Linked DNA regions of Tribolium castaneum. Each later gene encodes a partner of the first gene's protein in a complex. Links are inferred from orthologs where the notes say so. Each region holds a gene or a part of one and is shown on either strand. Other genes may lie near its edges.

Region 1 (8,354 bases):
TAGTGGCGCCACGCCCCCAAAATCAATGATCTTATCGAAAAGGACCTTATCAGGGGATTTTACTACATTTGAACACCTTTTCACATGGTCAATGCTGCGGCACGGTTCTATTGATATTGCCTTTTTTGGTAGCATTGAGTCATTCTGGGTGATTTGCAAAATGAAAGGATCAACAATTAAATGAAATTCCTTGTTTGTCTATTATTTCAAATTTGTGAAACAATTCGTAATCACAAACAGATCTAACAACAGGCTACAAAAGTACAGAATTAATTCATTCCTTAAAAATCACTGTAAAATTATAACGCGTTTCCAAATAAAATGAAACTTAATTAACAATAAAAAATGTTTAAGTGTAACATTTAAGGTCTAAAATTTATTTTGTTAAAAATATAATAAATTAATAAATACTATATAAGTCCTCTCTTCTTCTTGTAGTCTTGCAAGTTCAAGCTTCGTCTCGGAGCAAGGTCCTTTGTTACTGTTTTGGGTGTAACGTTTACGCTAGCCACTGAAAATTACATATTAGAAAAAATCCAATTAAATACCATGCTATGACTACGAATTTGAAATTAAGTTGGCAACACCAAATTAGTAACTAATTATTTCCAATTTTAATTGAACAAAAGTTATTTCAAGCTAATGATAATTTAAATAAAAACTTGTAAAAGATTTCTTTAATTTCTGTTAACCAGTTTTTTGTTTGAAGGAATTGGGAAGCAAATATAAAGTAAGCTCATGAAATTAACTGGAACTCAACTAGTCTTTTAAAACTTTAAATACCTACTATGAAACTTTTACTCCCTCTGAAATTTATTCTTCTTCTCTGAACTAATTTTAAAATAGAAAAAAAAAACCGAAAATGTTTAAAAAGTATTTGCACATATTTTAACATAAGGAAAATTGTAGAGTGTAAAATACTGACATAAGAAAAAACTTTGTAATCGTTGAATACCTTATACCAAATTATATCTTCATAACATATTATTGCTTTGTTTTTTACACCATTCGTTCAGAACGATTTGTTTTTGTGGTAATTGAATCAAGACATGAACTAATTAACTAATTAATTAAGATTAATAATTAAGAAATAAAAGATGAAAAATTCAGATTCATCTCTAAAGAATTGTTGATTTCTTGCGACAACACGACTAAAAATAAAACGTCCACGCCAAAGTTTATGATTCATAGTTTTACCGCCCCCTATTTTCGTAGTTAAAGACAGAGAAAGGGTGTTAAAGGACAAAATTGTAGAAAATTCAGTTGTCTTTAAACAAGTCCGGAGATAATATATTTCTATCTTCAACCTTTAGGTTTAAAATGTCTTGTAAAATGTTTCTTCGGCACTAAATGACCGGTCACAAAAAACGAAACAATCACTTGAACGGCTATAATCGTCTTTGAAGACTAAACAGTTTACGATAGAGTCTCATTAATTTGTAGGTAATTTAATTCTTTAATTCTTTTCTTTTTTTAAATTTATTTTTACATTTTTCTTGAACGTGTATCTTTAAAGTATTTGCAGCTTTCTGAAAAATATGGAAGGAATTTTTATTGGCCTAGTATCTGTTTCTTTAATTAATCAAACACAAACTCTCTACCTTATTTTTAAAAGCGATGGAAAAAAAATTTTGATTATTTGAATTCGTCAAGTGAAAAATAATTTATATTTTTGGAAGACTGTCCATAAGGTTGTTATTGAGCGATTGTTTCGATTGTCCATCGAACAATTCGAAAAACTACTGTTTCTAAAACATCAGTAGTTGTGATAATAGTATTGCCAACGTAATTTCAAAATGATGGCAATAACTAGTACCTGGTAAAGGAACATCTAAGTCAATTTTAATATCAAAGTCATGAGCTGAGAAGAGATCGTCCTGAGTAACTTGAGCCGGCTGCGCTGCTACTTTCGGGTTTTCCACTTCCACTGCAACCTTCTCTGGCTTTTTCTCAACCACTACTTCGGCTTTCTCTTCAGGAGCTGCCTTGAAATTCATTCTTGGTTTTGTCGAGCGTCTTGTGAACGGGTCATCGATCTAATAGTCACAAATTGTAAAATAAAAAATATTGCGAAATCTAATCGAATCAAACCTTTTTGCCTTTGTTTGCTTTAACTTCGGCCATAATCGCCTTTTCGGCCTCTTCAACGTTGCGTTTCCTGTTCCGGTCGTTGATGTATGAAATACTTGAAATGGTCGATGTTCTCATTTTGTCCAACTCTGACGCCCTTTCTTCCAAATCAGAGATCCTTTGGGTTAATTCTCTCGCCAAATCTTCAGCCCCGCGAGCCAGGGCTGAGTCTCTTTCTTTCATTAGTTGGGTTTTGCGCATTGCATAATTGTGGGGGTTTGGCTTGAACCGCTCTTTTTCGCGTATCTAACAACAGAAAGTTACAAGGACCCAAAATAAATTGTTGGGTTTTATTTACAATTCGTTCAATATCCTGTTCGTTAAATTCGTAATTTAAGGCTTCTTTTATGTCGGCTTGTTTCTGTTCAATGTGTTCTTTTGTGGGTAAAGGATTACTAGCAGCTGTGCTGGCCTCTATCCACTTGTGATACTCAGTCTCGGTGAATTCTTGATTGGATACAAATTCTAGGCGGAAAACTCGCTCCTGATTTCCGTGTCGTACACGCAATCCCTAACAGCAACATTCAAATGTTAACATGGAAGTATTTTACAAAAAACTTAGATATTATATTTTTTTAGTTTTTCCGAAGAATTAATTCTGTCTTTTGTTTTTCGTATTTGAAGCAGTTTTGTATTTGTATATTTTTTTTGTAGTAAATTTATAAATATATTTATAAGATAAATTTTGCTACATTGGTTTTTCTTGAATTCAATGCTCAAAAACTCACTATCAATTGAAAGAGTTAGGAAACATAAACACAGGAAATCAGCGATTTAAAAAATAAAAAAAATAATTTAGAGACAAATAATGAATATAATGATTTGCCGATTGTGAATGAAAATCGTGCTTGAAAACATTCAAGGATAGTAAGAGTAAAAATATTTCATTGACTGTTTATAACAAATTTTCACCAAATTCCGGGCACTGTGTAGTTAAAATTTGTGAATACGTACTATTTATAAAAGAAAATTGAAAAAAAGAAGCAAAAGTGACTTCATAACTTCCAACTTTTTATTTTGAAAACTTAATTGTAAAGAAGTATTTTTTATGCAACTACCTTAGGTTTATCTTTTAGTTTTATGAATCTCTCATATATCCGCATTGTTAAATTAAAATATTAAAAAGAATAAAGACTTTGTGACCCGATCATAGATCAAAAATATTCGTAGTAACTTTAAGCGCTTAAAGATATAATCCACCTTGGAAAATTTACCAAGATAGTTAACTAACTTCGTAAATACGTCTGACACAAGCTGTGTTTATAAGAACAAATAAATCAATTTTCAAACGTGTATCAGCTTCTAAAGAAAATTTAAAATTTGTAAGATACTGTTGCTTTAAGTTTATATGAATAAAATATTCGCAAAACCTATTAGAAAAAGTATTTCCGGAATTATCATTTTGCTATTGTACCCGTTAAGGTAATTAACAAGTACCTTGTTTGTTCTGGTGTTTCCCAAATTGTAAATCTTGGCAGTTTCATAAACATTTGTGACTTCGGCCACCCGATAAACAGGCATATTATTATGTTGCCCAATACCGATTTTTACGTAACATCCTTTAACAATACGATCAAAGAACGGCATATGTACAAATCTTTCTAATTTATGTCTCGACAACCGAATATTATTCATGTCAAGTTTCGTAGGTACATAAGCGGGTTTTTCCTCTTCTTCTTGTTCATTATCACTCGAACTTGAACTAGACGAAGAGCGGGATCTGACAGACCCCACAGATTGTCTTGGTGGCTGAGGTGAACTTTTACCTCCTGTAAAAAACCTAAATTTACAAAACAAAAAAACATTATTAAACGAAAAGTTACAGAAGAGTCAAAAAACGGTAAAACGAAAGTGGCAATTTTGAGTTGAATTACCTTCACTTTCGCTGTCATCTGAATAAATATCTGACGCCTTTAACTTTACGTTGCTCTTGTTTGTGTGCAGAGCGTCTTCCTCTTCCTTCTTCCTCTGTTCTTCCTTGCGTTTTTCTTCGGCTTCTTCCCGCTTTTGCTTGTCTTCTCTTCTGGCTTTGAGTTCGGCCATGGCGTTGACACGTTTGTCAACTTTGCCGCGATTTTCCTCAATGTTTTTCTTCCGCTCTTTGCTACGTTCCTTGTGGTCTATTGAACTGAAATCGGTTTGGAGTTTACTGTGGTCCCTGCTCTTCTCTTTGTCTTTGTGCTTGTGAGGTTTCTCCCGTGCCCTTTCCGCTTTCTTCGCCTGTCTCAACTTTTTCTCAATCTCAAATCTGTACAAAGCATGATTTAACAAAAATTTAACAATTCTTACACAAAAACGTACCGCGTTTTCATCAATTCTCGTTGCTCGATTCTTTTGAAAATTTCCGTTTCTCGTTCTTTCTCAGTTAAACTGGCTAAGCGGGCTCTGTCTTCTTCATCGCCCATAAGTTGGTCGTCATACCCGTCGTTATATTCTTCATCAGATATTGAAGAGTCTGAGACTTCACCTTCCTCAGGCTCTGAGTTATTTTTCGCCTCCTCTTTCTTTTCAAATTCGGAGTCAGAGGACTCATCTCGTTTGGGTTTCTTGTTATTTCGACCCTCATCACTGTCAGATTTGCCCTCGTATTCCGAATCCGAGTTAGACCTTGGCGATTTCTTCTTCCTGTTCTTTTTCTTCGCCAAATTCAAAAATTCCTATGGCCAAAAAACAACTCAACAACTATTCAAAAATAGCTCCAACTAGCGCGTAATTAAGCCAAACAACAACTGTGGCAGTTCAATCAATATTTATACAAAAAAATAGTGAATTGAGGATGAAAATTGAAATTGTGTGATAGAGGTTAGAATTTTTTCGGATGGAAAATTGCACTTACAGAGTCCAAATCGCTAGTTGAATCATTGCTCGAATCACTGTCAATCAAAGCTTGATTTTTGCGTTTTCCCATCTTGGGATTTCAAACTGGATGATCAATTTTGCTTCAGAAATTTAAATTAAATCAAAATCCAACAACACAACCACTAACTGCCACCACCATTACTATTTTTCATTTCTTTCTGTTCCTTTTTCAAGCGCTTCAGTCATGTGCAACCGAAAATTCACTGCGCAGAATCGGGCGCTCTATCGAATAGTTTTTATATCGAAAATGTCAACACTTCGTTTTATGTAATTTTGTATAAAATAACACACTTTAATTAATAAATTAAATTGATTCATTGTTTGCTTTACTGGCTTTTATGTTATTTACGCTTGTTGCGGTTAAATGTGGCCAAAAGTTGGTAAAACGAAGAGAAATTGTGGCCGAAATTTCGCTCACCCGAATGCTGGATATTTCCCGCCAAAAATTAACAAAAAATTTTTTGTTGTTGTAAAAATGTTTAATTACCTTTGATTTAACTTTTTAATTACCTAATTATGATGCACAACAGCTACTTTTGGAAATAGTGGTTCAAGTTTTGTGCAACATTTTCAAAAAAAAAAAATTTTAATTTAAAATTTACGCATTGTTTGTACTACGGTTGAGGATACAAAAAAAGTGTAAAAAACAGAGATGTAGAAAATTAATTTTTCTACAAAAAAAGTTGGCGACATCATATTTCTATCTGCAATGTTTAACTATAAATTAACTTTGCAATACTTGATCTCCGGTTTATGAAGCAAATCCCTTGCTTGAGCGACTTTGAAAATCTTTTAAAACAAGGATATGGTCTCGCTTAGATATATCTTTATCTTATTTTATCTTTAGTTTTGCCTTAAAGTCAAGTTAAAAAAAATGTTAAAAAAAAGTGTGAGACTGTTGTATGCCTAGAAGCTTAAGATTTAACTAAAATCATTAAATTTTACTGTTTTTTTTTAATATTGTTGAAGATATTAAGTTACTATTTATAGTTTTAAAACAGTGACAAAGGTTATAATTATAACTTATAATTTACCACTGAACTTTTTTCATGATAAATTTTTGGAAAAAGTGTATAACTGGTTGCTTTTTATTGTTGATATTTTTTGTTGATGCAAAATATTATTTTTTTAATAAATTTGTGTAATCAGAAAGGCGTATTTTTTTACAAACGTAAAGATAATTCTTTAAGCAATGAACTAATGGACTATTTTGAAAAGAGTAAATGGTCTTTTGCTCTTGGCGCCTTTTTTCGAACTCGTAGTGGATCAAATCGGCGCACTTTTTCGCTCATGCGCGCAGTAGATTAGATGTCAGACTAACTGACAAACGTTAATTTAGTTCAATGGATTGTCCCCGTGTTGTTTAGTTGGATTTGATGTTGTGCAAAAATGTGGTTGTCAAACAAAACATGGACTTTCAACGTTAGGATATTTCACACGACAAATCATGACCGAGTCATTTGAGGAGTGAGTACAATATTTAACCCTCAATTATGGGGATGGGCTATGGGGATGTTAAGTCGGCCATCATTTTCTTACTGATCATATTTGGAAGGAAACCGAGTCAATTGCTGGCCAAACGAGTGCAAGCACACAATTTCTCTCAATCTGCTTATTCAATTCACATTGCCTTATCTGTTGATGTCATAACTTATACATGATCATTCATTGTAAAGTAATCAATGGTTCCATTCATACTTGCACTGTTCATGAATGTTTACTTGGGATACGTTGTATCGGGTACGTTCACTTCGCAATTTATTTTTGTAATAGTTTTCCACACCCACACGTCTATTACAAAAACTAATGAATGAAAGGCTGCGCTCGGAGGGCCCACAGCCTGCATAATCTCCACCGAAACTATTTCCCACTCGAACCGACTTATTTTTAAAACCAGCATCCAAATGATTACTTTCTCATAATCAGGGAACCGTTTTGCATCCGTACTTTATCTCATTTACCGCAAGATACGTAACTGCACAATTATCCAAGGGCGGAAAGGTGCTCATTCTCTCCTACTCATGTTACTTTTTAATTTGATGAATGAAATACTACCACTGAACCAAAATAGTAAGTGCCACTTATCTTATCTGTGTTTATTTACTTTTAATTACTGAATGAGCCGCCAAACCCGCAAAGTTAATATTTTAAATTGGATAACACTCCAACATTAACCATACAGTAGCCTGCTTGCTTGCCCGGGATTTTCTAATATTTCTCTACTGCGAATTCCCCAGTTGATGAGTCCATAAACATTGGGTTCAAAATCCGAATTCATTCACCAAACGATAAGCTGCAGATCTTTCCCAGACTGAATTCACAAAATTCGTTTATCAAATTCTGCTAATAACAATAACAAGAAACAATCTTAAATATGAACAAATACCTTCTTCATTTGTATGATAAACATAAGAACATTTTCAAAATCTACAGATTGTCACAGCTAAAACTTTATTGTTAATAAACAACATTTATGGTAACGTTATAGCAATAAACTAAATAATATTCGTAAAATGCGAGTACTTTTGCTGTCTTATCTCTTTAAACTATTTTGTAAGCTGATAGATTACCTCACTAAATAAAGAAAACGTTTATTTTTTGCACAAACAGTAACGGGATTTGTATAATAATTACCTAATTATTAATTTAAAAACTTTTGCTTTGTTTTAAATGTTACATCAACATGAAATTTTTTTGTTAGATTTTCTAACCCATTATGATTTGGTTTGTGGTTGGAGAGCTAAATTACTTTTGGAATTTTTTTATTTGATTTTCTGAAAAAGAACAACTCTTTACGGTAGTTTCTGAATGGATAGTTCTTTTTGAGAAAAAGGAAGAGATTGGTATTTACTCGTATTTTAGTTAATTTATCCTAAAAAAAAGCAGGCTGCAACAATTTCCAAAATTTGTCAAAATGTTGAAAAAACTTCTAATTTCGACATTGTTTGACTAATTTGTACCAAAGTTAAGCAATAAAGCCTACTTTAAACAGGAATTAAGTATTAGTAAAATTTTATTCTTTCGATTATTCCGACCTAATTCAACAGGACTTTCTAAGAAAATACACTTTATGTTGATGATAGCATCTTTACTTTTGCAAAATCAGACTTAGAGACTAAATACATGGGAAAATCAATTGGTTAGACTTTGGAATAATTACAAAAAATGTCTGTTTTTATGAACCTCACGTATTATCGTGCTGCATGCTTTAGATCCTGTTTTTTCTACAATTTTTACATACAAATAGCTATTTTTATTGTGATTAATTTTATTTTATTAGTTACGTCTTTCAAACATTTGTTAGAATAAAAAGCTGTGGAAGGTGTTATTGAAAAGTTATTCCTCACCACTGGACAGAATTTTCT
Region 2 (8,276 bases), on another chromosome or scaffold:
GTGATTGATTTTTACAGCCATAAATCATAAGTCTACGTTGCCTGTAGCAGGTCTGTGGGAATGATTGAATAACATTGACAGTGATTAGGTGTTGCATGGGTTGGTCATGGGAGCTGGTGCGAGCGAAGGTAAGAACAGCAGCAACAAATTATGGTACTAGAAAAGTAAAATCTGTTTTTTTTTGTAAATTTTTTCAATAAGAGATAAAATTAAGAAAATACAATTATGTAATTAGTGTCTTCTACAAAAAACAATTTCAAGTTATTCTATACGTTCTCATTTTGAAGCTACCAACAATTGTATTACACTAGAAACCATTAAATTTTGATTAATTTTTTAATACTTAATTAACTTAATTAATCGGAATTTGGTTATTTCTAATGTTATTCTAAAAAACACGGATGATGTTTTGAGTAAACAATTCTTAATAAAATTGTAACATGCTTCTAAATTACGTGTATTTGAAGTTTCAAATTTCTCAAAGGCCCAGTTTCTGGCATGATTATTAAGTAAGTTAAATTTGATCGCTCCGTTAGTTGCTAAGGTTTATAAGTTTATAAGATTGGTGTTGTTATATTTAACTGCGGTTTAAATTTTTCTTTACGTCATTTATGTTACGGGAAACTGGGCCTTAATTAATTACTTTGTGTGGATGTATAAAAAATATAAATATTAAATGTTCTTGCAGTGATTTATTATTTAATAAATTTTAGTTTAACTTATACGAATTATAGAAAAATATAGCACTTTCTCTTAAAGTTAGTGGTTCAACAAATTAACAGTTAATGTAATTTATAGTTTCAATGAAAGATCTAATCATTAATAACTATTTTACATTTTTATCTTCCTTATTAAAAAATATTTGGAAAAATGCGACGTTGGTCTTTACATACGAGTACTTTTGAAACAGCCAATATGTAATTTGAGACGTAAAAATACATAGTACAGTAAAACCTCTCAGCAATGGACACCGATGGGGAATCTTTAATTGTCTGTTGTGGAGAGGTGTCTACTAATAAGAAGTGGACAATGTTAATGTAAATAAATATATATTCTTTTTTTAATAAAAATCAAATGGCTGTAACTGTGACAGGAATGAGACAAAGTAACCACATAATTCAAAAAGAGCATCATTTAATCTACCAAACATATCTAATCAAATTTAAATCAGCAGCAAAAGTATATTTTACAGAAAATATTTTACTAGAAGCAGATTTCTTGTATAACTTAAGTATGTATATTAAATAGGTTAAATAAGTTTTGTATAGCTTTAAGTGAATTTAATTCTTTCAATTTTTTGATCATGTTGATAACTGTATAAGATTTATAACAGTCAACGTTTTGATCTTAAATTTTTTGTTATTGTTAGATATATATGTGTTTTAACAAAAAAACTTTTGAAATTAAAACTAAAACATTGAAAAAAATAAACAATTTTTTGTTTATCCACGTCCACGTCCGCTATACAGAGGGTCCGTTGCAGCCAGTTTTTTTTTAAATTATTTTGCAATAGTTTTGATACGTTCCTACAAAATGTCCGTTCTAAAGAGGTGTCCGTTATTCTGAGGTAGGTTTTACTTTTTATTGTACTAAGTAATTTTATCAGAAAGATGAAGCAATAAAAAAATGTACCTATTATTAAATACACTAGAAATATGTATGTTAATTACCATTAAAAAAATAAAAAATTGGAATAAAGTCAAAATAAAATAAATACAAAATGAATACGGAGAATAAGATGTTTTCCTGATTTCGATTTGCTTTTTTAATTCATAATTAGGTATTTATTAACAAAAATGAAGACTATTTTAGAGATTATTATTATAATAAAATAAATTTTAAACGATTTTCAATCTCTTTAATTTTAGGGATTTTAGGAATTACAATAAAAAAAATTAAAAAAAAAATGTTAATTTATTTTGTGGCATCTTAAAATTAGATAAACTAACATTCAACAATTTTGTCTTCGTAATGTGATGTAATGTAAATTCTATAATTTTTAAAGTCTAAAGTATAGTGTTGTTAATACCTAATTGTTTACTTTTTTGTATATTTAGAAACAAAACTTCATATTGAATAAATGCTTTTTGGATAAATATTTTACTTTATAGTTATCTTATGTTAAGACATCTATTTTTTTAAATTTTAATTAATAATTTGTTAATAATTACCCAGATTTTATGGAAGTAACAGTTTTGCTTTAATGTTTTAATAAGTTTTATGTAGTGAGCCACTTTTTCACTTTTTTCAATTACCTATGCAGAGTCAACAGGGTGAGTCAATAGTGGGTTATTTCTGAATTTCTATAAATATGCAACTAATGTTTTCAACTTCATCAAAACGCTGGAAATACGGTTGAAGATACAAAAAAAGATGTAAAGAACAAAGTTCCTTTTGTAGTTTAGTTAAAAATTAACTGTCTGTTACTTGAACACCGGTAAAATAAAACGAATTCGTCGTCAGCATCTTTGAACGTCTTTAGGGTCTAAACCGTTGATAAAGATATGGTCTCGCGGACTCTTTTTAAAGAAAATTTAATTCTCTACAAATTTTTTTGTAACATTTTTCTTATAACTGTGTCCATATTCGTAGCGTCTTGAAAAATACGGGATAAAGCGCAGATAGATTTTAAATTAAAAATTTTTTTTTTCAAGTTTCTTATGAAAATTTTTGTCGTCATTTTTTTTTCAGTGTGTTAAGAAGACAAAACTTAACATTTATGCATGTTTTTCCAAGTACAGACTGATCCAGAAATACTGAGTCTGTTGGCAACACTGAACTTAAATTTTTAAGGATACCAATGGACTACGCTTCCTGTTAACAACAATGTAATGTTCTTATGGGGCTGTACGTCAAATAATTGTCAAAAAAATCGAATTCGGTTACAATTTTGCAAAGTACAAGCATAAATACTTTCAAATCTGTTGCTAACAAACTCAGTATTTCTAGATCAGTCTGTATTTAGTAAATTGGTTAGATTTATTAAATTAATTTAAAACGATTTGATGCCCAGTGGGCATAACGCTCGAAGCGCCCTCATTTTTTCTCCGCCGTACTATTTTTTTGATTTCAGAAAATCCTGCAATTTTTTGTGTTGTTCCGTCTTTTATGTTATAGTCCTTCGTACTTCACACCCACATGGTTTTATTAAATGCTAATTTCATACGAATAAGCCATTTTTCAGTATTTCAATGTTCGATTTATTTTAATAAATGTATGCAACTAATAAAACAGCAGCTTGGGATAAAGTTTTTCAGGTGTCGACTGGTGGCAGCATTGGGCTCAAAAGTAGTGCAGTAAACAAAAATGGCGGACCCTTTGAGTTTGCTTCGCCAATATAATGTGAATAAAAAAGAAATAATCGAACGCGAAGGCCAGATAATATTCGGGGAATTTTCCTGGCCGAAAAATGTGAAAACCAATTATTTAATGTGGGGGTAAGTACCGTTCCAAGCCGCCTCCGCAACCCACCCTTCCATCTGTTGACAAGCTAACCTCAAAATGCAATGAAAAATTTCTAGTTCTGGCAAAGACGGAACCCCTAAGGAATACTACACGTTGGAATGTTTGTTGTTTATTTTGAAAAATGTATCACTGACTCATCCTGTATATGTGCGACAAGCCGCTGCTGAGAATATACCAGTAGTGAGAAGACCTGACAGAAAGGAACTCTTGGCTTATCTAAATGGCGAAACGGCGAGTTGTCCTGCGATTGATAAAAGTGCTCCTCTTGAAATACCCACACAGGTTTGTTTTTTGTGTGAAAACGCGGCTTTTTATGTACAATTATTTCTTTGTAGGTCAAAAGATCTGCTGACTATGAAGGGCCTGAAAGTATTGCAAAAAAGCCCCGGTTTGAGGACTTGCATGTGCAAAAAGTTAGGGAGAAGTTGGCCGCCCGACTCGATGCCCCTAAAGAGGCTTCAGTCACTGTTGATAATATCAAGTAATTTACTTGCTTTCTACAAATGAGAAACAATTTTTAACTGACGATTTCTAGATCATTGTCTGAAGCCATGTCTGTGGAAAAAATTGCAGCGATTAAAGCCAAGCGTTTGGCAAAGAAACGAACCACAATTAAAGGCAATGATGATATAGGGCAAGAGTACGACATTCGGGCTATTCTTGACTTGGATGTGGACTTGACCAAAGACATTATCAGTCGTGAGAGACAGTGGAGGACCAGAACTACAATTCTGCAATCTAATGGCAAGGTAAGAATTTGGCAAATTCTTGCAATTTTAATTTTAAGTTCGATAAACTAATAAGATCTTATCACTAAACTGCATTGTTTTTTATTTTTATTTAGAGGTTTAGTTTAGTCAGATTTCGCAAAACAGAGCCAGAAAATCTTTTTCAAGCATTTTCCAGCCATGAACGCAATTCAAAAATAAGCCGGAAAGACTACCAAATTATGTTGGATGTTATTTTTATACCCGTTTAAGCACTAAAAAGGCAGTTTTTTTGACTAAAAGAATGTTATTTACCCCCCTTTCGGGTATTACGCACATTTTTAAGCGCCAATAGAAAACAATGCTATTTTTTGACTGAAAGTTCAATCCTATTATTTCCAAGTTGTTGTTTGGTGGGAACAAAGAATACTAAATTATGCCGAAAACGACACGATTTGTTATCTTTTTGAGCCTTTGTGACCAGTTGTTAAATCAAAATCTTGTCAAAAATATCGGGTGATTCAAAAATATGTGGCATAATTTTAACCACGAATACCCCTCTAAAATTAAGAATAGATAGGATAGTATTTACTGACCCACACAAAAAATAGGAAAATTACAATTTTTCAGAAATTGGTATGGGAAATGGTTTTTTGAAAACATTTTTGTTACCGTTCATGCGATTATTATGAAATTTTGTATGCCAAGAGACACAAAGACGCTCTATGATATGGTGTAAATGGAAATCTTGTAAAAGCTATACATTTTCGGTGACAAGGGGGCCCTTCCAGTTTTTAGGTGGTAACTCAATTTTTCGGCCTATAAACACGTATTTTTGATATCAAAAATCAAAAGCTCAATTATTTTTTAATAAAAAAGGAACTCTTGCTTCATATCGCCAAAATGTACCGTTCTCGAGTTATTTGGGATTAAACTAAACTCTATACCGCAGTGCAGAATAAAAAAGTATAAATTTTGAGCGTACCATTACCTTGGAAACTGTCTACTAAGAATGACACAGCTGTCATTGCTGTCACATTTGATGTCAATTTCATTTAATCTAAAGTAAAGTTTGATTATTTCTTGATGATAATAGTTAAAGACACGATTATGTGTTGGAAGAAATAATCTATGAGCTAGCGGTAGCCGTCCCGGCATCACAACTTGATCTGATGCCACACCACCAGAAAACGATTATCCCTCCAAATCGCTGTTTTTATCAATATTTCAATACTTGCATTATAAAACTATCTATAACCCAAATAAAGGATTAAAACAATCAGAGACCAAAACACAACCTCAACTGTAACAAATCACAAAATAAAATCTTATCAACTATTTGTAATGCCACTATTGCAATTTTTCTTTAATAGTAAGTTAATTTAATCCACAGGTTGTTGAAACCTGCAAAGAATAACGCACGGTTTAACGTTTATTTACATTTTTAAAAATTACAAGAACTTCAACAACAATAAGCATGAAAGCAACAAATGCCGCTAGCGCGCTAGCTGGCGCCTGTGGTATTTTTCGTAAGCGCGAAAAACAAATCATGAAGTCATAACGATAAAAAAATTCTTTTAGTATTTGGAAATGATGCCCTGATCAGCCCATACTGGTAAATCTAGTTAAAAAAATGATCCAGGTTATTGTTGTTTAAAAAAAGAACATTGACTTCATCATTCATATTTTCTTTGATATTCGCGCTTATGAAAAATAGCACTGGCGCCAATTAGCACGCTGGCGGCATTTGTTGCTTTTGTGCTCATTGTTGTCGAAGCTCTTGTAATTTTCAAAAATGTAAATAAACATTAAGCCGTGCATTATTCTTTTGTGGATCAAATTAACTTCCTATTAAAGAAAAATTGCAACAATGGCATTACAAATAGTTGATAAGATTTTATTTTGTGATTTGTTACAGTTGAGGTTGTGTTTTGGTCTCTGATCGTTTTAATTCTTCATTTGGATTATAGTTTTATAATGCAAGTAGTGAAGTATTGATAAAACCAGCAATTTGGAGTTTATTTCTTCCAACACATAATCATGTCTTTTACTATTATCATCAAGAAATAATCAAAATTTACTTTGGATTAAATGAAATTGACATCAAATGTGACAGCATTGACAGCTGTATCACTCGTAGTGAACTGTTTCCAAGGTAATAGTACGCTCAAAATTTATACTTTTCTATTCTGCAGTGCAGTGTAGAGTTTAGTTTAATCCCAAATAACTAGAGAACGGTACAGTTTGACGACATGAAGCAAGAGTACCTTTTTTATTAAAAAATAATTGGGCTTTTGATTTTTGATATCAAAAATACGTGTTTATAGGCCGAAAAATTGAGTTATCACCTAAAAACTGGAAGGGCCCCCTTGTCACCGGAAATGTATAGCTTTTACAAGATTTCCATTTACACCATATCAAAGAGCGTCTTTGTGTCTCTTGGCATACAAAATTTCATAATAATCGCATGAACGGTAACAAAAATGTTTTCAAAAAACCATTTCCCATACCAATTTCTGAAAAATTGTAATTTTCCTATTTTTTGTGTGGATCAGTAAATACTATCCTATCTATTCTTAATTGTAGAGGGGTGTTCGTGGTTAAAATTATGCCACATATTTTTGAATCACCCGATACATCTTTTCCAAGCTTAATTCTAAACTATGAAATTCCCTTTAAAAGTGAAATTGATTTGTCCTATATTTTAGTCATTTTGTATTAAAATTTTTGCTTTTTCGATCGTTTTATCAGAATTTTCAGACGTAATTATAAAAAGATTATTGAGGAAACTATTAAGTTATGACGGATTTGCTGTTATTTTTTGTCGTTTTTATGCACGTTTTTAATAAATAAATAAAAATAAAGATTATTGTAAATATAAAGATAAATTTACAAAAGGGAACAGTTGGTAGTATAAATTGAAACATTGCTAAATATTGCACAATATTTCACAATAAGACATCATTAATTTTGTTTCTAAACTACTTAGGTAACATCTGTAAAATGTCGGGGCAAAATATGAAAATCTGCTTTTATATTTATTTGTATGATGTTAAGGAATACAAATATAACGAATTATTTCTAACATTGACATTATGAATATCACTTTTGCGAATTAACAAATTAAACAGATACGCAGGTTTTTTAATCTTGAGAAGATGTTACAGAAGCATTATGTATAAACTTCTAGTTCATTAAGCTCTTTAAATTCATTAATTTCTCCCAGAAAATGTCCAAGTAAGGTTTTGGTTATTGAAATTCAGTTGTTGATTATTTTCAATGAAAGATCGCTATCTAACTGTTCCGATTATTGTAGATAAGATTTTCTTTGAATTTAGAATTAGACCGTGTTTTGTTTGTGGATATAACTGTTAATGTTGCTTAAATTGTTATTTATAAACTTTATACGGGCTGTTTATAAAATAATGTAGGATCTCAGGTGGTTCTGGAATTTGAATTTGCCGCATTTGATTTTTTATTTTTATGATATTTGTGAAAAGTACCAATTTTTTCGTGTACTTAATAGAAATTTATAACATTGATTAACCCAAAATAATTAAGAAAAGTGACACTTTTCTTGTTAGCAACACTTTTCATGTTAACGACTGTTGTATTTTGCCTTAGACTTTGTAGGTACTAACCTGACACCGCTTCTGCTGCCAATTGCAGAAGTTCTTCATTATTTTCGCTTTGATTTATTTTACATGAAAGCTTTTTCGAAAATTATTTATTTACTTGGTTGTGATGTTTTATCACAAGGAAACAAATGCTTGACATAAATAATTTTGCTAATAGGAACATTAGGAACAAGACAATTTCTATTTTTAAAATCATAATTTTCGTGAAGTGAAGTACACGAAAAAAGTGCGTGTTCAACGCGTAAGAGAAATGAGTTTTCTTTACTTGTTAAACAATCTACTATTATATACTCAGACAACCAATAAAACCAAATTTTTATATTTTTTCTTGAAAGAAGCGGCAAACTTTTACTACCTACAACGATCCTGCATTCATTTATACACAGATTGTAGCTTTGTCATAATCATTAAATGGAAATGACAGACACAACTGTAAATCAAGGTACATGTGAGTTTTGCAATTAGT
Region 3 (8,478 bases), on another chromosome or scaffold:
GCATATGTTGGTGTTGGTCACGTCTTTTCGGTTGATCAAATAATACTTTTTTAATGTTTTGAAACGGCATTTCAATCAAAAGAACAAGCAAAAAGGAACACAATATGATAACTATGGTTTCAACAACCTCAAGCTAAAAGACACGATGTTTTCAAAGACATTTAATAAATTATAACTTACTTGTAAATATGTGCGGTATTCGTCAACATGTTTTGTCAACCCCACATTATAGAAAAAAATTGGAAATTGCACCAAATACAAGGCGTAAGCCAGTTTTGTTGAAATTTGAAAATATTTCCAATTAAACAACGTTCCCAACCAGCCTAAAAGAATAGTTTCTGAACCGCATTTGTTTTAATTTGTGAACAACCTGCAATATCTCTATTTATGGCATAAATTCCAAATGCTACACTGGAGCCCCAAAAAATCGGATATAAAGCAAGCACATACGAGGCTTCCAATTTATCATAAACATAGTCTTTTGTGACCATATGGTACGGTCCTAGCCAAGCACCGAGAAACATTGGTAGGAAAAAGCACCACAAAAATGCAACTTGCCACTAAAAATTTCATTAAATAATTACTTAACGAAACGTATACGTCAAGTACCTTAGTGAAAGAAGTGTTTGGTTTAGAACATTTTAATAAATAAGCCAGGTAAACACCTATTAAATAAATAGTTGCTCGATGAGTTGGTAAAATGTATGATAAACTAGCCACTGAAAACATTTTTGAAACTCTGAAATAAAAAATATTGTTCCATAATTTTCCTAAATATAAGCAAGTGTTTCATTACGAGATGCCGAAGTAAACGACGCTCGTCAATTCATGTTCGTACGAAACCCAAAATCTAAGTATTGTTGAAAGTAGGGCCACAACTCCCATAAAGAATAATCCAATTCGTTTAAATGTCCAGATCAAATAAACAAAAACTGGTGTAACTAAAAACAGCTGCATGTCAATACCTAGCTGGTGCGTGTGAGTCAAACACTGAAACTGTTTAGTTAAGTACACGTTTAGCAATAATGTGGTATTTACCATATTTTCAAAACCGAAGTAATTGTGGATGAAAAAAATATTCTTCCACATGTGCTGCTTGCATAGTGTTGAATGGTGATCGACGACGACAGGCCATAACGGCCCGGAGCCCATCAAGGGTAATATGTACGTACAAAATAAAATTAGGGCAATTACGTTTGGAAGAATTCTGAAAAAAAATTAAATTGGAACTTCTGCGCAGGTGCTAGGGATTTTTTATTATTTTAATTTTTTTTTTAAAGATTTGACTCAAACATTTTAAAACGGTTACCAATAAGTAATTAGAGCAGAAGATATCATTTTAATGAAATATGACATTTTCCAAATTTAAGTTCTGAAAATAAGTTAAATCATTTAAGAACAGGGAATGATGACAATTAAGAAATATTGACTTTGATAATTTAAAAAATCTTAGTGTTAACGTATTTTGGGCAAAAATATAAAATTTCTCATTTTGCTAATCAGTTGTAAATATTTCCAGTTCTGTCAAAATTTATTGTTACCTAAGTAACACAAGTTGGTGCCAGCCGGCTCTGGGTGTTGGGCGTGGGTGATCACAAAGAACTATAAACCGAAGTTATTGGGCGCCACTAGTTGTATAACCCCAACTAGAGGGGAAAAAAAAAGAAAGGAAAGAAAAAGGGGTTTCCCCGAAATTAAATTTTAATGGATTAAAATATTATATAACAAAGATTTAAAAAATGTAGGAAATTAAAAATTATTAAAGAAATAAAAAATACTATTCTATCTACGCTGGACAAGTAGACAGGAGAAAAGTGATTCTCTTATACCGATCACGTGCTCGGAATATTATTCTTTGTCGGCCGCAAACTCATAGATCTATGTTTTGTGACTGATATCGATAAGCGCAAAATTAATAACCGAATCTACCAACCGATATGTCCAGAGACGATTTACAACGAAATTATATATATTAAATTACAAAATGAGATCAGCAATATTACCTTTGATCGTGAGGCGATCAAACAAAAAAAATTGGAAGAAAGAGAACACACGAGACAGCAAAAAGGCTCGAGGTTAGGGGGTTCCGGCGCGTCCGTAATTAACAAAGGCTTGCCTGACCGTCTTTTCGATGAGGGGCTCCCTCAGAGGTAGCTGTTGACCTCGCAGATGGCGGGTTTGGTGATAACGGCGAAGGACCACGTCCGGAACGAGAGATGATGGGATGTTAGGTCCCCTCGAAGGTTTTACTCCCCCCCAATTTGAAGCCTTTAAATCGAAATACACACTGAACCAAGAAAACAAAGAAAAGGGCTCATCAGAATCAATTCGGTACCTTTGATGTTGGGCGGCTTCCTCGTGTTAGCAAAAGAATTTTGTCCTGCGAATCCGACTATTCGGCTACGGCGATGGTGCGAGCATTTACCACGAAAATCTTAGTGAAGCTGCACTCACAACGAATCACTCCATACGATACTTAAATTTTCACACTCGATGACCGCAAATCTCCACAATAATGTGAGATGATCTAAAATCTGCTCACTCGAGATGACTCCCACAACGGAGCTAGGACAAAAGTGCTAGAACGATTTCCGTTCGGAGTTTTAAAGAACGAGACTCAGAAAAAAAGTGAAACGGAAACGAAAATTTAAAATTTACGCGCTAAACAGAAGATAAGAGGAAAACTAGGGAGTTTAGAAAGGTAACTAAGATTGACAATTACAGGTTAGATTCAAATTCAAAACAGATAAGAAAATGTAAACAATGACATGGGCAATTAAACTAAGGCCCCCATAGCCCACATGGGAACCCCTAGGGCAGGCAAAAGGAAATAAGGAGGCTATCCGGCCCTAACGGATAGCATTTCCGACGATTTTCCCAACTAAGTTATCAAGGTACCAACCTACGGTTTTAACCAGAAACATTTTCAGGACAGTGGGCACTAAAAGGCTGCGACATTCAAGTTTGCCCACAACTGAATGCGGGACGCACCGAGCCACATATAAGGAAGAAAAAAAACATTTCTTTGTAAGGTTGACAAAAAAGCGGACATCACAGAAGGAACAGGAACATTGACGCTCCGACGTCAGCCGTTCACTCTGACGCCGTTAAGGGCATTAAAATTACACCCTGACCCGCCCTTCTAAGTCAGGGTGGATTTTCCAAACGTAACATATTTCAGAAATTATTTGCCTTCCTCATTCAAGCGTAGCAGTAGAAAAAAAAATTTCTACAAAAGATTTAAATAAAATCAAAAATTGCAAATAAACTTTTAGTAGAAACATTAAGAAGTATTAATAATTTGCATTTAAAAATGTTACGAAAGATGAGAGTTGTTTTAACTGTAAAATTGATTCCGCTTTATTAAAAAAATGAACAACGCAATATATCTAAAATGTTAATTTTTTTATATCTGCAGTAAAATTATTTAAAGTAGTTAGTTAATAATAAGTGTAATTAATTGTTTACTTTCTTTTTAATCTTATTATTATTATTTATTATATACGAATTTTAGTTCTAGGAGTTTTCTACCATTTACTGTTATATTAATTAAATATTGTGTAATTAATTTATTTTGGAGTATATTATTGTTATTAATAATATGTAAATTATGTTTTATTTATTATATTATTTATAGTAGATATTATAATTGTTAAATTAAAAAAAATTAAATATACTTTTGTTGCTTATGCAACCCAATATACACCTAAGTGGAAACTGCAATGTAGGGACTTTTGAATAAACATCTAGGGATTACAAACAATTTCACCTGGCGACACTGTTTCGTATGTTTTGACAACTGTGCGTGTATAAGTTGTAAATTTATTGAAATAGCTTGAAAATATTTTTATTAAGTTAGAAAATTTGGTGTATATTTTACAATGCCTCCAACGATACAAAATGGAACTTCCACGCAAGAAAAACGGCCTGTTAAACCAGCAGAAAAAAAGTGAATATGGTTATGAAATTTTAACAAACAGGTTAAAAATGGGGCTGTTTTAGGTCCGACTTGATATGCAGGGTGAAATATTGCAACACGCTGCCTGATATCCCGTTTGATTTGAAATTTATCTCATACCCGTTTGATTCATCAAGGTAGGGCTGTTTTAAATGTTTGTGGTCGCCTGATGTGTTGTTTCAGGTTTATACAATTTAATCCAACCTCGTTGGAGAGAAATTATCGGTATGAAGTGCTCACTGAACATGATTTGGGCGTTGCCATTGACTTGATTAACAAAGATATTTACGCTGTGGAACCAGGTGCTATGCTTGATCCAGCTGATGAGAAACTCCTAGAAGAAGATATCCTAACACCTCAAGACTCGAAAAGGTCCAGACACCATGCAAGATCTGTCTCTTGGCTTCGCAGGACTGAATACATTTCAACAGAACAGACTCGATTCCAGCCACAAAGTATGGATAAAGTCGAAGCGAAAGTTGGCTACAGTATTAAGAAGAATTTGAAGAATGAAACATTGTACATGGACCGTGATTCACAAATCAAGGCTATTGAGAAAACGTTCAGTGATACAACGAATCCGATTGAAAAGCATTACAGCAAGCCGAATGTGACTGCTGTTGAAGTATTGCCAGTGTTTCCCGATTTCAATCTGTGGAAATATCCATGTGCTCAGGTTATTTTTGATTCAGATCCAGCGCCTGTTGGTAAACAAGTGCCCGCGCAGATTGAGGAAATGTCACAAGCTATGATCAGGTAAGAATTAAATTTTGACTAAGAAGCTATTTTCTGTACCCAAAAAAAATTAATGATACGGCTGTAAATTGTTTTGCAAAAAAAGCAGGAACGTTGGGCATCAAATTCTTTACAAGTTAAAAAAATATATCAAAAAATGTGCTCTGTTCCATATTTTTCAAACCGCTGTGAAAAAAAGAAGATGAAAGAAAGAATTATAAAATTAAATTTGCTACAAAACTTGCTATTAAAATTGAATTATGTAATAGTTATTAATAATACTAGAGCGAAAACACAAGTTTAAAGTTCGAGGGCTGTCGTTATGCAACGAGCGTATGCGAGAACTTTAAGGGTCTTCGTATGAGTGTTATTCAAATTTTTTATCATTGTCATTTTATCACAAGGACAACATGCCAACAACTTTAAAATCCTCTAGCATATTTAAAATCCTCCATCGTTTAGACTATTAACTTTTTTTACTCAACCAGAAATATTTATTTACTAAACTGAATTTTAATTTTAATTAATTAAAATTAAAAATAAGTTAGTCCAATATGTTATTAATAAGTTAAGAATACGATGGAAAAACAATGAATGTCGCATTTTACACGTTTTGAGAAAAACAGTTTAAAGATCAAGTAATAACTTTGTGTGATAATTTTTTTTTCAGAGGTGTGATGGACGAACGTGGCGAACAATTCGTCGCCTACTTCCTCCCAACTGAAGAGACTCTAGTTAAAAGACGGGAAGACTTTGCTAACGAGATACCATACCAAGACGATGAAGAATATGAGTATAAAATGGCAAGAGAATACAACTGGAACGTGAAGAGTAAAGCAAGCAAAGGTTACGAAGAAAATTACTTCTTCGTAATCAGACAAGATGGTGCCTACTATAATGAGCTAGAAACCCGTGTCAGATTGAGTAAACGTCGCCAGAAAGTTGGCCAACCTGCCAGCAACACCCGTCTTATCGTCAAACACCGACCAATGGATGCGAACGAATTCCGAATGCAAAGATACCGCGAAAAACAACTCGAACCTGCAGGCGATGAAGACGAAGAAATGGAAATGGAACAAAACGAAGAACCACAAGAAAACGAAAGTAATTTTTCGTATTTGATTTTAAAATTTGTATTAATTGTATTTTTTAGAAGAAAGCGACGCGGAATCGTCAAGATCCAAATCACCGTCACGTTCAAGATCTCCGTCTAGATCCCGATCACAGTCTAAATCTCCCTCACGGTCCAGATCCAGATCCAAATCGCGATCAAGATCCAGATCCAAATCGCGGTCAAGATCCAGATCAAAATCTGCGTCTAGATCCAGATCACGTTCACGCTCGGCTTCCGGATCGCGATCTCCTTCCAAATCGCCGTCACGATCCAGATCCGGATCCAAATCACGATCACCATCACGTTCCAAATCACGGAGTAAATCACCGTCCAGATCCAGATCCGGATCGCGGTCAAGATCCGGATCCCGATCTGGATCCGAATCCGGCAGCAAGTCGGACAGTGATTGAACCACTAACGTTTTATTTAAGTGTCAAGTCATTGTTTATTGGATTTAGATGTAAATATGGTTTAATAAACAATACCTGAATATCCTGTTGATTAATTTTTCCTTGAATTTCATCGCACGGCCATTGTGTAAGTCGGTAAGTAAAGCGTTCGCGTTTAGTAATCCACTTATAAGCATGAAGACATCTGTATAAACAATCGCGTTTTTTGCAATAATTGTCCAAGGTCGGCTCACTCTCTGCAAAAGTAGGTAAAGAAAATTTTTGACGTGGTTTTATTTACATCAACTGCAGCTGTTCGGTTCATATAAGGGTTGAAAAATAGCGAAACGCTTTTATGGGACATGAGTAAAGCCAAAGCATTGAGGAAACGAATGCCGTGTAAGCCAGCTATTTCGCTGCGATCGTTTTCTTTCACTTCGAAAAATTTTGACACGTTTTCGCGCAATGAAAAACACTGCAGTATTTTCATGAATATTCCTGTAATTAACTAATAAAAAAATTGTAATCGAGACAAGAAATTACCATTTGTGTGCGCAACGCCTTTACCGTCTCTATAATAATCGACCAAAGTTGACGAAACCACTAATAGAACGACACAAATAAAAAATAATCTGGAAATAATAAATATCGATTCGTATTAGACTAATAAACATCAATGAAATTACTTAAACTAATTGTTTATCTGCATCTACAATGTGTTTTATAAAAACAATTAACTGCAAAAGATACAGCCACCCAAAATGAAAATGACGCGTCCATAAGTGAGCCTTGCAGCTGAAGCTTTATATGATTTGTTTCGCTCGATTTTGGTCGTTTTTGAGCGATTTTTTTTCAAAAATAAGCCAAAGAACTATAAAGTTACGTAAAAAATGTGTAATTTTATATTTTTCAAGCATATTTCTTCTGAGAAAGAGTAAAAAACTACTGGTTTTATATCTTCTAGCACTAAACAAATGTTTACATTATTATTAAAATAATGTGATTTCATATGGTTTACAACCAGTAAAGTAATCACTCAAAATAAAAAAAAAATTAAAAGCTATGTGAATTGTGCGATTTTAAAATTTTTAAACACATTTTTGATATAAAAACAAAGTTTTTTTTTAGAAAACTGGCTGCAGCAGAGACGTGAAAATTGATTATCTCAACAAGAGATATTGTATAAAAACTTGTAATAAATTTTGATTAAAAGTAATCTTCTTTCTGTCTTTCTTGGACTTTCACCGCATTGTAGACCTAAAATCTGTTTTTTTCTGTAATCTCACTAAAAGAGAATAAAAAAGCACAAATTTAGACCCAAAATTATTGTATCTTTGCCTTCTTTTGAGCACGTTTCTTGGTTAGAAACGTAATTGTTTTGCAAAATTTCATTAAAAACAAACCGAAAAGTCACCCATTTGCATTAAAATGTAGATGTTAAGTCTTGTTCGAGACTTATTGTTGAGGTAAAAACTAAGTTCTTTCGAAAAATTTTGTTAAAATGAACTGATGGGAATTAATATTAATTTTGTTATTTCAGCCAATTTGAAATTCATTTCAGTTATTCAGTTTCTTGGCTAAATAAACCGAACTGAAAAATCACCTATAAATGGCTCAAAACTCAAAAACATTTTTTCAATTTTTTTGTTTATTATCACGTTTTTTTTCGGTAAAAATTGTCACGAGTAAGCCAAAGAATAGTCTAAAAAATTAATTCATTTGCATTTTTGTTCAATATTTTAAACAAAATGTAATGAAAAACTGTTGATTTATTTATGGTATCGGTCATAGACGTCATTTTCATTTTAGGTGAATGTACCTGGCAATGTAGTCCCCTCTGGTTAAATCTTTACTCTCTTTTGTTGCTTTTTGGCACATTCCTGGCCTAATTTGGGCCAAAACCCCAAAATTTGCACTTAGCGATTTTTCTAAATCTTCTGCTGAACATTCCTGGGGTATACAAAATCCCCAACGGGCCATAGTGAAACCAGGAACTCTATGAGCGGGCTATAAGCAAATTATCACTTGTCTAAACCCAGCCCTTGGATAGCTTACAGCATCAAACGTGTCCTTAAAGAAATTAAAAGACTGCACTAAATCCCTGTACTCGGAGTAGGATTCGTTCCACAGTGCTCCAAAATCAATTTCAGCGAGACAATATTGGGCCGTTTTAACCCCCATACATTCGTTAAAATCGCCATATTGTACGATATTGCCGTTCAAAATTCCGGACGGTATTTTGGCTGTGGCGTCCAACACTAAGCGCACGTTTAAATGTGAAC

Evidence for each region.
Region 2: Rtf1 (region 1) and hyx share a complex: the UniProt entries of both Caenorhabditis elegans proteins name them as parts of the PAF1 complex. The link is inferred for Tribolium castaneum from reciprocal best matches to the Caenorhabditis elegans genes rtfo-1 and cdc-73.
Region 3: Rtf1 (region 1) and atms share a complex: the UniProt entries of both Caenorhabditis elegans proteins name them as parts of the PAF1 complex. The link is inferred for Tribolium castaneum from reciprocal best matches to the Caenorhabditis elegans genes rtfo-1 and pafo-1.

What each region holds. Positions count from the first base shown.
Region 1 is NC_087394.1:33,111,891-33,120,244, reverse strand, and holds Rtf1 (RNA polymerase-associated protein Rtf1), read right to left. Parts: upstream 5,159-8,354; 5' UTR 5,039-5,158; coding exon 4,967-5,038; intron 4,788-4,966; coding exon 4,432-4,787; intron 4,379-4,431; coding exon 4,005-4,378; intron 3,900-4,004; coding exon 3,568-3,899; intron 2,642-3,567; coding exon 2,429-2,641; intron 2,377-2,428; coding exon 2,092-2,376; intron 2,037-2,091; coding exon 1,817-2,036; intron 512-1,816; coding exon 411-511; 3' UTR 177-410; downstream 1-176. UniProt on the Caenorhabditis elegans protein: Component of the PAF1 complex which is a multifunctional complex involved in transcription initiation via genetic interactions with TATA-binding proteins, elongation and transcription-coupled histone modification.
Region 2 is NC_087400.1:8,948,078-8,956,353, reverse strand, and holds the start of hyx (parafibromin), read left to right. Parts: upstream 1-3,265; 5' UTR 3,266-3,306; coding exon 3,307-3,437; intron 3,438-3,521; coding exon 3,522-3,747; intron 3,748-3,800; coding exon 3,801-3,946; intron 3,947-4,000; coding exon 4,001-4,214; intron 4,215-8,276. UniProt on the Caenorhabditis elegans protein: Component of the PAF1 complex which is a multifunctional complex involved in transcription initiation via genetic interactions with TATA-binding proteins, elongation and transcription-coupled histone modification.
Region 3 is NC_087397.1:9,417,635-9,426,112, reverse strand, and holds atms (RNA polymerase II-associated factor 1 homolog), read left to right. Parts: upstream 1-3,759; 5' UTR 3,760-3,881; coding exon 3,882-3,949; intron 3,950-4,002; coding exon 4,003-4,095; intron 4,096-4,141; coding exon 4,142-4,714; intron 4,715-5,363; coding exon 5,364-5,797; intron 5,798-5,846; coding exon 5,847-6,217; 3' UTR 6,218-6,292; downstream 6,293-8,478. Other genes in the region: regulator of hypoxia-inducible factor 1, read right to left, coding at 1-133, 181-323, 371-560, 610-739, 797-996, 1,039-1,207, 6,293-6,453, 6,498-6,694 and 3 more. UniProt on the Caenorhabditis elegans protein: Component of the PAF1 complex which is a multifunctional complex involved in transcription initiation via genetic interactions with TATA-binding proteins, elongation and transcription-coupled histone modification.